2 linked regions of the Ovis aries genome follow. The protein of the gene in region 2 binds, or shares a complex with, the protein of the main gene of each other region. Links are inferred from orthologs where the notes say so. Each region holds a gene or a part of one and is shown on either strand. Other genes may lie near its edges. The genes, in order: RPF2 and HEATR3.

Evidence for each region.
Region 1: HEATR3 (region 2) and RPF2 share a complex: the UniProt entries of both Homo sapiens proteins name them as parts of the hexameric 5S RNP precursor complex. The link is inferred for Ovis aries from reciprocal best matches to the Homo sapiens genes HEATR3 and RPF2.

The regions. Positions count from the first base shown.
Region 1 is NC_056061.1:26,670,679-26,677,479, reverse strand, and holds part of RPF2 (ribosome production factor 2 homolog), read left to right. Parts: intron 1-1,337; coding exon 1,338-1,470; intron 1,471-2,579; coding exon 2,580-2,617; intron 2,618-5,361; coding exon 5,362-5,401; intron 5,402-6,801. UniProt on the Homo sapiens protein: Involved in ribosomal large subunit assembly. May regulate the localization of the 5S RNP/5S ribonucleoprotein particle to the nucleolus.
Region 2 is NC_056067.1:18,013,608-18,020,926, reverse strand, and holds the start of HEATR3 (HEAT repeat-containing protein 3), read right to left. Parts: upstream 4,926-7,319; 5' UTR 4,773-4,925; coding exon 4,638-4,772; intron 4,492-4,637; coding exon 4,319-4,491; intron 4,133-4,318; exon of another isoform or gene 3,974-4,132; intron 2,487-3,973; coding exon 2,399-2,486; intron 1,023-2,398; coding exon 910-1,022; intron 1-909. UniProt on the Homo sapiens protein: Plays a role in ribosome biogenesis and in nuclear import of the 60S ribosomal protein L5/large ribosomal subunit protein uL18 (RPL5). Required for proper erythrocyte maturation.

The sequences.
Region 1 (6,801 bases), on a different chromosome or scaffold from region 2:
CAGCACTTTTATTGGGTTATGGATGCACTAAATCTCTCTTGGTTTGAAAATAATGTGTATCTTTATCAACCAGTAAATGATTAGAAGCTGTATATGTGCTTGATATTTTATCGGGAGGAGAGTTTTTTAAAGTCTGTATGGTACGGTATGTGTGTGTGTATTGTTTTTCTTTTCCATCCCGAAGTGTACATGGAACCGGAAGAAGGCAGGATCATAGTTATTTAAGAGAAAAATTATTTCTGTAGGTGGCAGATGGGAAATCAAGAATCTCACTGTAGTGTAAGTGGAGGTGAACAAGGCAGTGTATAAAAGCCTTCTACTCCATGTGACAGAATACAATCAGAATAATGAATTTGTTTCCCATATATAGTATAAGTGTGTATGTGTATGTATATGTATTTGGCTGTGCTAGGTGTTTGTTGCTGTGAGGGCTGCTGTCTCCTTGTGGAGCTCCGGTACCTCATTGTATTGGTTTCTCTTGTTGCGGAGTACAGGCTCTAGGGCACAGGAACTTCAGTAGCTGCAGTTCCTGGGCTCAACAGTTGTGGTGCCCAGGCTTAGTTTCTCTGCAGCATGTGGGATCTGCCCGGATCAGGGATCGAACCTGGGTCTCCTGCATTGCAGGCAGATTCTTTACCTCTGAGCCACCAGGGAAGCCCCTGTTTTCCTTTCATGTTTTGCAGGATGCAAAATGTAGCTCATTTTGAAGACTGGCCTACATGCCAAGCTGTGTGGCTTTGGACAGATTATGTCAGCTGACTCATCTGTAAAAGATTAGGCCTTAATAGACTAACTGTAATGAAGTGTCAGTTGTTATTATTCTCAGTTGGTGGCAACAGTATTTGACTTTATCAGCAATGATATTGGAGTGGGACATTGGATACTTCCTGGCAGGCATTGTGGTCTTATACCTGGAGGAAAGATAAGAAGTAATTAGCCTCCCTATGCCCACAAGTTGACTGGCAGTTGGTTCATTGTGTTCAGGTGCAGAGTACTGGTTTGATTGCTTTAAGATTAAAGAAAAAATAATAGGGTAAAAATAGCAACAGTATTCACTTGAGTCCTTGTTTTTTTAACAAAAGATTTAGAAAACAGTAATAGAATGCTGGGAATATAAAAATGGAAGTCTTTTTAAATACCAAATGTAATTACTGCATTTACTAGTAATAACTGAATATATTTTATTAATATTTCCCCCAAAATGAGATTTTGTGGAATCCTAACTAATAAATGTTATGTAATATCTCTTTGATATTTAAGAATTTGTATGTAAGTCTTGGTTTTGTGATATGAGGAAAATGTCTTAAGTTGTTATAAATTGTGATTTTTTGCAACAGAAAACCCAAAACAAAAAGAGCCAAGAGATTCCTTGAGAAGAGAGAACCAAAACTCAGTGAAAATATAAAAAATGCTATGTTGATTAAAGGGGGAAATGCAAATTCAACAGTAACACAAGTGCTTAGAGATGTGGTACGTATATTTATATATATACACACTTTTTAAATGGTGTTGAAATCATTTTAGAAAGTTTTTAGTATACTAACCTTTGCCTTTGCCTTGCCTTAAGAAATGCTAACCTTAGAAAAAGCCTAAAGTTGGAGATTGTTTGCTTTGCCAAGGAACTGACTGCTGGTTTTCCTTCCAGCTCCCTTAGTAAATTTCACCTGATTTCAATGATTGGAATTTGATTTTGTCACATTTCAAGAACATATCTAATTTGTAAAATGAGCTAACTGCATATTATATCCCTTTATTTTTTTCAACAGTACCAACTACTGTACTGGATGCTGGGGATTAATATTTATATAAGACATAATCTCTCCCTTCAGTGAGCTTAGTGAGAGAGTAAGAGTTAGAGCATTGTGAGTGATGTGCTGTGCTGGAGGTATGCACGGAGTAGGATGGGAGTCGGTCAGATAGTCAGTTCAGTTGCTCAGTCTTTGAGCGACTCTTTGAGATCCCGTGGACTGCAGCACACCAGGCTTCCTTGTCCATCACCAACTCCTGGAGCTTACTCTTAACTCACTGTCCATCGAGTCGGTGATGCCATCCAACTGTCTCGTCCTCTGTCATGGAGTAGGATGGGAGGCTGAGTTAAAATCCCATGAGGGTTGCCACACAGGGTGGGCTTCCTAGAGGTGACAATTAAGCTTCATTTTGAAGGAGTTGAAATGAGAAGAGGAAAAGGAAGAGGAAGAGAAGGGCTTCCAAGGCTGAGGCAAAAGCTTGTGCACAAAGGGAGTGTGAAGGAGCATGATACATTTGGGGAATTGCAAATAATTGGGGGTGGTTAAAGGAAAGCAGGCTAAATGAAGCTAGAATTTAAGGAAGTGAAGGGAATCATTTAAATTGGATAGAATATTGAAAGGGCATAGAAATTTTTAATTAGGAAAGTCCTGTGTCAGAATATTAAGCTTGTGTTGGAAGTTATATGTGATCAAAGGGGAGCCATGCAGAAGATATCAGAATAGGATTCAGGAGCTAGGATAACCTTGCATAATGACTGTTACAGTGCTTCACTTTTATCTCTGCTTTTCAGAATATGTTTTGTTTTGAAAGCTATAAATTATGTTTTACAGTATGCACTGAAGAAACCGTATGGCATTCTGTATAAAAAGTAAGTATGATTTCTTTTACTTATTTAATTATATTGTTTCATTATAAAAGTAACAACCAATCACTTTATGGGAGACTTAGAAAAATATTTTATTTAAAAAATATTACATTGCCTTACATACATAGCTATGCGTATTTCAAAACTTACTTCTTTCCCATTTGTGTATTCATTTGTACTGAACATTCTTACAGAGTTGTGATCATAGCATGTATGTATTTCTTTGAAATAGTAATGGACTTACAGAAAAGTTGCAAAAATACTAGTTCCCTTATACCCTTCTCCCACATCTCTTAATGTTATAACTTCTGTAAGCACAGTTATCACAAGTAAGAAATGAACATGGGGACAGTAATTTATACACACTTACTTTTTAATCACAGGCTTGATTTGGTTCATGCCAGTCTTTTCATTAATATTCTTTTCCTCTTCTAGGATCCCACATTGTGTTTAATTGTCATGTCTTCTTAGTCTCCTCCAATTTATGACAATTCCTCAACCTTTCCTCATCTTTGATGACCTTGACACTTTTGATGAGCACTTGTCAGTTATTTTGTAAAATATCCTTCAGTTTGGACTTGTCTTATATTATGAATAGATTGAGATTGTACATTTTTGGCAGTAATATCATAAAAGTGATGTGCCTTTTCAGTATATCTTACCGAGGAATATTTGATATCTTCTTACTGGTGGTGTTAAATTTGATTAAAGTGGTGTCTGCTAGATTTCCCCACTATAAAGTTGCTGTTGATATTTTCCCCTTTGTAATTAACAGATGTTTAGAGGAGATACTTACAAGTTTTCAAGTAATCCTAGTTCTCCACAAACTTCTGCGCATTCATTTTAGCATCCACCAGTGAACCCTGTCTACAGTGGTGATCTCTGTGGTGGTGCAGTGGTTTTCTGTTTCCCTGCATTCCCTCTGCATTTATTAATTGGGATTCTGTGATGAAAATCAGTCCCTCCTTCTCCATTTGTTTAAATCACTTATTTATGTCGGTGTGGACTATATATTTATTACGTTCTTTGGGGTTCAGTGCTGTCATGATTTATTTTGTTGCTAAATTGTTCTCTTTGGCCATTGGAATCTCTGTCAGGTTGGCTTGTGTGCCCTTTCAAAGTGCCCCTGTGTTTGAGCACTTCCTTTCTGGCATCACAAGATGCTCTAGGCTCATCTTGCAGCTTTCATTGCCAGAGCCCTGGAATCAGTCCTGGTTCCATATATTGGAGAAAGATAACTTAGAAACAGAGATCTGGGCATTAAGTATGGTCAGTTGCTACTGGAGTGTCATCAGTCCTCTAGCAGACAAGAGCTTGAAAATGTACATAGGTACATTAACCTATGCATGTATGCACGTCTGTATTTGTTTATATTTATCTATATATTTTAAAAGCCCTGAGTTGATATTGATATTTCCTAAAAATTCATGGGTTCGTACTACAAATTTCAGTTCTACTCCAATACCAGAGACTTCATTTGAGCCTTTCTCCTTTTCTTCTTTGTAATTTCTGTCTTCTATTTACTTGTGAATTGCTTTTGGCTGTTAATCATAAATGCTGCAGTAATTTTTCCTTTTGCATGATTTTTCTAAATAATTTTTTATTGATTATAAAAGTAATATATATTATCTTAAATAATTGGGATAAGAGTAAATAATCACTCATAGATAAACACTGTGTATATTTTCTCCTCATGTAGTTTTGTGTCTATACATCTTTTTTTTTCTTTAAACAAAATTGAGATCATGTTGTATATATGATTTTTTTCTAAGTTGGTAAAAATTATGAACTGTATTATATTTATGTGACTAAAAATTCAAAAATATACAGTGAAAATATAAATATGCACACACTCTCCTTAGAACAACCAGAATCATTAGTTTTTTGTGTATCTTAGCAGAATTTCTTCATGCATATTTGAACAAACCTTTTGCGTGGGAAGATAGCATTCTACATTTCTCTATCCACTGTCCATGTCCACTGCTAGCACTGCTGGCCCAGCCCCCCACTTTCTTTCTCTCCTGGATTACTGTGATAGCTGCTTACCGACCTCTTCACTCTTGCTGTGCTACATTCCCTCCTCACATAGTAGGCAGATCAGCCCTTTAAAAAGAACATTTGAATCCCGTCATATCACTCTTGTCTAAAATCCCCCTGTGCTTCCTGTTACTCTTTTAATAACCTTCATTCCTTACCTGAACCAGCAAGGCCCCACACTTTCTGGACCATGTCTTCATCTTTGACCTCATATCCCACCATTAACTCTTTGCTCATTAAGTTCCAGTGATGTTTGTTGCTTTCTGTTTCTTGAATAGTCTACACTTGTTTCCATCTCGGAACCTTTTCTTACTTGGTTCCCTCTTCCTAGAGTACTCTTAACCTCAAAACTCTTCCATGGCTAACTCCTCATTTGTTGGGTCTCAGCTCAAATAATCGTTTTCCATTCTTCATACTAACACGGTGCCCTGCTTTATTTTTGTCACAACACTTAGAACTTTTTGAAATTGTTTACTTTTCCTCTAGAATGTAACTTCCATGAAAGTAAGGATCATGTTTGACATGGTATTATGGTATCCCTAGCTCCTAGAACAGTGCTTGGCACTAAATAAATATTTGAATGAATAAATATCTTCCAGCTTCTTTTTTTGATCATTTGAATATATAATTATCTTTATTTAATATTATTACCTTATTGTTATGAGTGAATTGCTTATTAAAATTACAGTCACTTTTTTTTAAAACATTAGGAAAAACATTACAAGGCCATTTGAGGATCAGACATCATTGGTAAGTATAAGAATCTCTGATTTAAGAGGGCATACAAGTGATTATTCACCCTAATTCATTTAATTTAATTGTAGTCCTAACTTATGACTTTGAATTAGAAATCATCCTGTGTTACAAAATTTTGATGCAATATAAAGGGGGAATAAGACTTTTTTATTTCCAAAAATATTACTATAGATCTTATGCTTCACTATGGATAGTATGTGTTCATTGCCTGCATGTATATTGATAGAATTTTAAAGAGTTAATTATACTTTAGGTGGATAATTAATGGATTGTCCAAAGGATTTTCGTTATGGATGTTTTTATAATGCAAATTTGATTTTTAAAAAGTTTGCTTTTCTTTTTTCGAATACTTTTAAAACAGGGAGCACGACCTGACTTTTTGCGAACCATGAGAACATGACTATGTTCTCTTGGCAGGAATACCATTGCTCGTCTCATTTGGTTGTTTGCTGCGTGGCACGTGGAATCTTAGTTTCCCTGACCAGGGGCTGAACCCACTGCGCCCCCTCTGTTTTGGAAGTTCGGAGTCTTAACCCCTGAACTGCCAGGGAAGTCCCATAGTTTGTTCTTTTAGTTAGTGAATTTAATAGGAAAAGTTTTTTTTAATAGAATCTCAATGATTACTTAAAAAACTGAAATTGAGCATCTTATCCTAATGTGGCATCTAACTGCAGTGAAAATTACAATATATTAAGAAAAGTATTCTCAAAATAAATGTTGTTTTATAATTAAGTTGCTTTTATCACAGTCTTGAATTTTTCACAGTCATTTGTTGAATAGATCGTGAAAGTAAAAATGTATATAGAGTCTAGCCCAGAATTCTATCTCTTCTATACATGACTTATCCAGGGCTGGTTTTATTTTGTAATACCATGGTGCTTTTAGTTGAGTGGTCACTGTGTAGAAGTATTATGTTGTAGAATCTGTAGCATTTTTTTTTTCAATTTAATGTTGATAGGACATTTTTTCTTACACTTGAAATTATGGCTTTTACCCTCTTTGATCTTCTACTTCCAGAAACAGGAGATATTTCATTGGCTGTAATAAATTTCATACTGCTAGAGCTCCAAATGGTTGTGGAAACAGTGGTCATGTTAGAAATTTGGTTGATTTCCTCCTGACTGCCCATCCCCCAGTAGCACACTTCTTATACTGCAGTCTTGGAATTGTGCACAGGAGCTGGGGAATATACTTCCTGTGGGCTGAATCCCTGCTTCTCTGAGGCTCACAAGCTAAGGTGGTTTTTACATTTTTAAAACTTTTTTTTTTTTAAGTATATAAAAAGTCTAAAACATTTATTATCTGGCCTTTTGGAGATAATTTGACATCTCTTGCTCTAGAATTTTAATAAAAAGTTGACTTTATGGAGAAGGATGACAAATAAGTACTATGTA
Region 2 (7,319 bases):
CCTCAAGCTGAGTGGTGCACCCAAAATAACAAAGAAAGAAACCATAGGCAAGTTTGACTGCTTGTAGGTAGTCAAGCAATGTAGGCAGCTTTCCAGGATCCAACTTAACCTTGTATTCTGAGATATACCTCTAAGAGGTCAGAAATAACCATGGCTATTGATGGAAAATAAAGAATCATGACACACTCCAGACAGAAAGGTGGTCCAATAAAATGGGGCAGAAAAAAAAATCCATGTTGTGTTTCTAGCCATCTCCATTCCTAAAAGCAAGCCCCCATCTCCAAGCCCCCTTCCACTGCTACAATGATGGAATGGAGTGTGGTCTCCTTTCTACTGGGGCCAAAGGAGCTCTTCTCAGACGTCGACTTCCCTGTCAAATGGCACTCACCAAGGTCTGTGGTTCCTGTCTCATTCCAGATCAAAGTATCTATTGCACTGGAGCCTGGCCAGCTTTAAGACAACTGCTGCTTAAGGTACACAGGCAGTGGGGGAGGAAGGGATGCAGGGGCCACTAATGACCACAATTTCTCTTATTTCTATCAGTAGCAATAAATGGATAGAAGAGTTGTAAAGCAAGGAAAGATGTAGTGGGACTTCCCTGGTAGTCCAGTGGTTAAGACTCCAAGAAGCACTGGCACAGGTTCAATGCCTGGTTAGGGAACTAGGATTCTGCATGCCACGTGGAAAGGCAAAAAAATAAAAAAAGATACAGTGATGCTAGGAGGACAAGGGCTTGGGAAGGACAGTTGATCTTAGGTCACTTGACGAGATCGCCTAGCAAGCATTAACAGATGCATTAACAGATGTACAGGCCTACCAAGGAGAACAGAGATTCCTCTGCAGTTTAACAGAGAGAGCAGAAGCCTGAGTAGTGTTGAGGCAGCAAGCTGCATCTGGAAAGCATCTTACCATATATTCCACAGCACGTTTACAGCCTCGTTGGCTATGTTCTCAATAGAATTTCTGTTCTCATCTTTTTTTTTCTGAGGGGACATCTCATTTGAATCCAGTCCAGTACTACACTGTAACCAAATACCATGATTAGCACTTTTGTTCAAAAGAATAAACACAAAGAAATGCAAACGGCAGTGAAGAATCACAAAAACGAAACATCAGAAATGACAGTTAACACCAGCCCATCAAGTTCTCACAAGTCACTGTACAAGCTGGATACAAAGCATTTCACATCTTAAGTGAAAATGTAAAATCAATACAAAATATTTAATTTAACGTAGTCAAGATAATATATAAGACAAAGAAAAATAACCCATAATAAAAGCTAGTATCTATACGGCATCTTCTAAGCATGAGGCACTATTCTAAGCATTTCATGTCGATTAAGTCATTTAATTGTCACCAGAGACCTATAATGCAGATGAACTATTATCCCCAATCTCCTGCTACAAATGGGAAACTGAGGTACAGAGAGCCTGCTGAGGGTGCAGCCTAGTATCTAGTGAAGCGGGATTCAGATCCAGGCATCCTGGCTCTGAAGTGGGTGCTCTGAATCCCTCTGCAGTTCTGCCCCCTCCTACAATCCATGACATCCTCTCAATCGGGCTTCTCCAACTTGGCACTGCTGACATTTTGAACGGGATGATTCTTTGCTGTGGTGCACGTGGGACACTTTGCTGTTGTGCCCAGTGTAGGATGCTTAGCGGCATCCTTGGCCTCTATGCACTAGCTGCCAGTAGCAACCCCTCCTCCAAAGCTGTGACAATCAAAAATGGCTCCAGACATTGCCAAATGTTCCCTGTGGGGAACATCACCCCTACGAGAATTACTGTTCTAAAGGGACAACAGGTCTTGTCCCTTTGATGATGATGTCTCTTATCAAACCTGGATATTCCTCCTACGGCCTCAAGTGAAAACTACCCATCAATACAGAACAGTGGACCAGAGGCATGACAGGGGGAGAATTCCTTAATCCCTGAACTGCATCTTGCAATAAAGGAGGCACATTAGAAAATTTGAAAACTTAATCTAGTCTTCTCAGCAAATTCTTAATGTCCATGCTTGAGCTTCCTCATCTGTAAAACAGGAATAACAAAGAATACCTGCCAAATAGGACTGCTTTGAGGATTCAGGAAAATAACACACAAGACACATAATTAAGCATCGAATAAATACAAATTAGTTTCATCCTATGAAGTTTGACGTCTAAAGGAGACAGTCTATACTTTTAGGAAGGTCTTTTCCAACAAGCAGATAAATAAAGGTAGCGGGGACAAACTAGAGACTAGTGTCAACGATGAGAGATCAGTGTTTCCAGGAAAAGAAACAATTCCTACAGAATGTTTTGAGGGAAGACAAAATGACACCAAAGTACTTAGAAATAAGACAAAACCCCAAACTGTTGGAGTGCGTGCACTAACAGAGATTTGGGAAAGTGGCATACCTCTTTCAGAAGGGCAACCAGTGGAGTCATGATATCCTTCGTCACCATGTCATCACAAACTTCGAAACCGCCACAAGCGCTGAGATTTCTACACAAGAAGTTTAAAACACACCCGCTTCAGATCACATGCCAAAAAACATGCTAAGCGCTCAAGTTTATTTCTATCTCTACCCATACTTAACATTTCCCGTTTGAAATTGCTTTACGATTTCTGTAAGACGCTGCAGAACCAATCCACAGAACTCCACCTGCTCTGATCCTTGCTCTACATGAACTAAACAGATGACTCTGTCTTGTAACAATGTAATTCTCAGGAATGAGGCAGCACCCAGCGAGAGGGAAGACTTCCTATTTAATGTAAATCAATTACTGCCTGATATTTATTTTTTTGGCCATGCCATGCTGCTTATGGAATCTTAGCTCCCTGACCAGGGACTGAACCTGCTCCTTCAGCAGTGAGAGCTTGGAGTCTTAACCACTGGACTGCTAGGGAATTCTCCTGCCTGATCTTGTATGAAGGGACCTTTTTCTGGAATCAAGACTTCAAGGATAGGAAGGGTGAGGCTATTGAGAATGACCTTCCCTGAAACAATTCTGACTACATTTAATTTTCATTGTGAAGACACTGTTTACCCTCCGAGTGCACAGCACTGTGCTAGGCACTCAGGCTATGAAGAGAAATGAGAAGATGTCTCACCATCTTCCAGGAGCTCCCAGTGTATGTTGTTTTCTCCATCAACTGGTTAATTCCCCCTCATCCCCCAGATCTCACTTCAAACATCATGCCCTTAGTTTTCTTCCCCAAACCCCTTCTCATAGCATCTTTTGTAAACATCATTGGTTGTAATTACACACTTACGTGATTATTTGCATAATGCTTGCCTCCCTCAATACTGTAAGATCCATTAAGGACTGAAATTATGTGTCTTGTTCACTCCCACTAGCCCACTGCCTGGCACTGCAGGCTCTCAATATAAACCTGCTACATTTAATGAATGAAACAGAACAAACACAGAGCTATGAGAACTACAAATATTAACATTACTCTGGCCCCCTCTACAGTCCATTCTCAGTGCAGCTACCAGCCCTTTTGAAAAGGTAAATTAGACTAGTCACTCTGGCTTAGAATAGGTCCTTAAGCTCTGCACCACTGAGTCCTTATCTGTCTCTCCAGCCGCAATCCCTATAATGTGCACCCTCTACTCTGCTCAGCCACATAACCTTCCCTTTCCTTAACCGTGCCAAGCCCTCTGCTGTTGCTACTCTCTGTCAGGAATGCTTTTCCCCTGTGTGTCCACCTCTGGTTCCAGGCTACCTCAGCTCTTAGCTCACAAATGTTATCTAGAGATTATCCAATTTAAAGTAACTCCCCACCTCCGGCTATCACCTTCTTGGTTTCTCCATACCACCTCTTAAAACCTAATATTATGTTTCATCTGGTTACTAGTTCCCTGTCTCTGCATCAACATGGTTCTGCGAAGGCGCAGATCCTGGCTGTCTTGCTCAGTATTCTGCTTTCTCAAAATCCCTCGCGTCTAGAAAATCTGGCACATACAATGGAAGAGTTCACCGAACCTCAGGACTCTATGAAGTCTCCTTGGGGAGGGTACAACGTGCGTTAATAAGCCTTGAGCAGAGGACGCTTGGCAGATGGTTACTGCAGTTGAAGCAGTCAGGCGGACAGATGGAATACGTGTAGTCCGGGGCTCATGAGGTCCTCCGGAATCCGAAGCCTGAGTTCAGATCCCTCCTCTGCAAACAGGAGAGCATAGCCAGTTCTTGGCCCTCCCGAACTGTGCCGCAGACAAGAGCACTCAGGATGAAACCCGTGAGCGACGGTACCAGGTGCACAGGAGGCGCTGGCTGGACGCCGATGCCCGGATCCGAGGGCACCAGCACAGATCCCCCTTCCCTGCTCACCTCAGTGCGCCGGCCGCCGTTTCCCTCACCGCCAGACTGGGATCGAGCAGCAGCGGCCCGAGGCGGCGCACGGCGTCCCGGCGAGCCAGGCCCGGGAGCACCGGCCGCTGCTGCACCAGCCGGGCCAGCCCCGCGCAGGCGCACTCGCGGACCTCGGCGCTCGGGTGCTGAAGCTGCGGGACAGAGCGAGTGGTCAGGGGGACAGCAGAGCGCACGCGCAGGGGCGCGGCGGCAGGGGCGCGCGGCACGGCTGGGGGCCTCTGCGCGCCGCCTGCTCCCCCGCCCGTCCCCGCGCGGCCCCGGCGAGCCCTCGCCTCACTTTTTCCAGCAGTTCCGCCGCTGGCCCGTCGTCCTCCTCTGGCTCCGTCCCGTTCGCCGCCGCCGCCTCGGCCTGACAGTCGCCCGTAGGCGAGAACTGAGGTCGCTTGAAGCGCTTCGTCCGGCTCTTGCCCATTGCGAAGTCCGCTGTGGTGGAGGTGGGGGGTGGGAAGACCGAGAGAGGAGGGGAACAGCAAGACGAGGCAGGAGGGTCTTGCAACCTAGGGGTTTACTTGCCACTGCTCAGCTGGGCCGGATGACGGCCCGCGCCCACATGGAGAAGCACTGCGCGTGCGCATAGCGAGTCTGCGGCGGGGGCGGGGTCAGCCGCGGGGAGCGCGCAGGCGTAGAGAGGATGGTGGGCGGGGCCAGGCCTTGCGGAGAGGCAGGTCCTGGGGACCTGCTCGGAAGAGGAAAGGCTAGGTTTGAACGATGATACTGTCTCCGCCTCTCCTCAGCTAGTGACGTCTATCAAGAAACTGAATCTGCCAAACCTTTACCTATTTCCATAATAATCGAGGGCGATTAAGGGTACCTAACTTGCCTAACCTTAGTGAGAGGCTTAAAAAAAAAATACCATGTAAAGCCCCTAACTCCAAACCTGATATGTATATTATCAGTTCAGCTCAGTCGCTCAGTCGTGTCCGACTCTGCGACCCCATGAATCATAGCACGCCAGGCCTCCCTGTCCATCACCAACTCCCGGAGTTCACTCAAACTCAGGTCCATCAAGTCGGTGATGCCATCCAGCCATCTCATCCTCTGTCTTCCCTTCTCCTCCTGCCCCTAACCCCTCCCAGCATCAGGGTCTTTTCCAATGAGTCAACTCTTCACATGAGGTGGCCAAAGTATTGGAGTTTCAGCTTTAGCATCAGTCCTTCCAATGAACACCCAGAACTGAGCTCCTTTAGTATGGACTGGTTGGATCTCCTTGCAGCCCAAGGAACTCTCAAGAGTGAGTAGGTGCTCAAAAATATTATCCTGTCCTATCCTTTGTGCTCAGCCCTGTCCAAATCTTTGCGACCCCACGGGCATGGAATTTTCCAGGCAAGAATACTGGAGTGTGTTGCCATTTCCTTCTCTAGAGGATCTTCCCTGATCCAGGGATCAAGCGCCCATGTCTGGCATCTCCTGCATTGGCAGGCGGTTTCTTTACCACTAGTGCCCCAAAATATTAACTATGATTTTATTCTGCGCCTAGTCCAGGTCCTGTCCTAGACAAGGTCCATATATTGGTCCATAAGATGGACTCCCTAAGAAGTTGCTTAATCTTCCTGCCTCAGTTTCCTCATCAGTGAAATAGGGATACTAATAATATATACCCAGTGGAGTTGTAGTGAGAAAAACTGTTCTAATGTTTGTAAGATACTAAGACAGAGACTGGCACAAAATAAGCATGATATAAATGTGTGGTTGAAACTTTCACTTAACAGAAGGATTCTTTCACAAATATTTACTGAGTACCAGGTGCAGTGTGGGGCATTGAGATAAAGCAATAACCAAGACAGATATGGACCCTACCCTTGTCCTTATGGAGTTGACAGTTTAGTGAGAGGTGATGAATAACTATTTCATTACAATTATGGTAAGTAGTAAGAAAGGAGAAAGGTATAGGAGAATCTTATGTACTCTTTATGTGTATATATTGAGCACCCAATAGATACATAGCTTGCAGGTCAACAATGTATGGGAGAAAAGATCCACTCCATGCAACCCTGCCCTCAAAGAGTTGACTTTCTAGTAAGGGAAATGATTAACTACTTTAGTATATTTTGGAAAATAATCATGAAGGTGTAACTAAAGTTGTACAGAAGCTCATGTCTATCAAAGACCAGCTTTAGGTATAAGGAAAAGTTGAAACCCCAGACATACATTGGCAACCTTAACTTCCTAGATCTCTTACCTGGTTACTGATCTGCATACCTCCCTGGTCCAGGCTATTGTCTGCTCTTGTCTTGACCCCATGGCCTTCTGGCCTTGTCTTTCCCAGTCTGCCCATCTATAGAGCAGCTGGAGTGATTTTTTTTTTCCAAACTGAATATCCTTCCAACTTTCTCATATGTATTCCTTTGCTTGAAACCTTTCAGTGGCTTCACTTTCTTTTAGGACAGGGATTAAAACCTTGGCTGGCTGCAGTGTCTCATTCCAGCCTCCAGCTTCATCTCGTCACCTCTTGCATCCAGTCCTTTAGCCATCCTCCAAAGGGCCAACCTCTCCCCTGCCTTAGAATTTTGGGCAAGCCCCAGATCTGACCCATGTCCTGGTGAATGCAAGAGTCGCTTCATAGGTTCCTCCTCTGATTTTGAAGTCTGAGATGGATCTCTCTTGAGATGACATTTATCTTGTCCCTTTGCTTCAAAGCACAGTTCAAAATTACAACTATACACAAGTAAATTTAAGTTACAAGTATGCCCATGCTCGGCCCAACCGCACACTAAACCTTGTGAGGATAAGACTGCCTGTTTTAACACACCACTGTCTTCTCAACACTGGCCAAAACCTGGCACAAAATAAGCATGCCATTTTTTTAAATGAATAGAGACCACCCTGATGCTGGGAGGGATTGGGGGCAGGAGGAGAGGGGATGACCCAAGATGAGATGGCTGGATGGCATCACCGACTTGATGGACATGAGTGTGAGTAAACTCTGGGAGTTGGTGATGGACAGGGAGGCCTGGCGTGC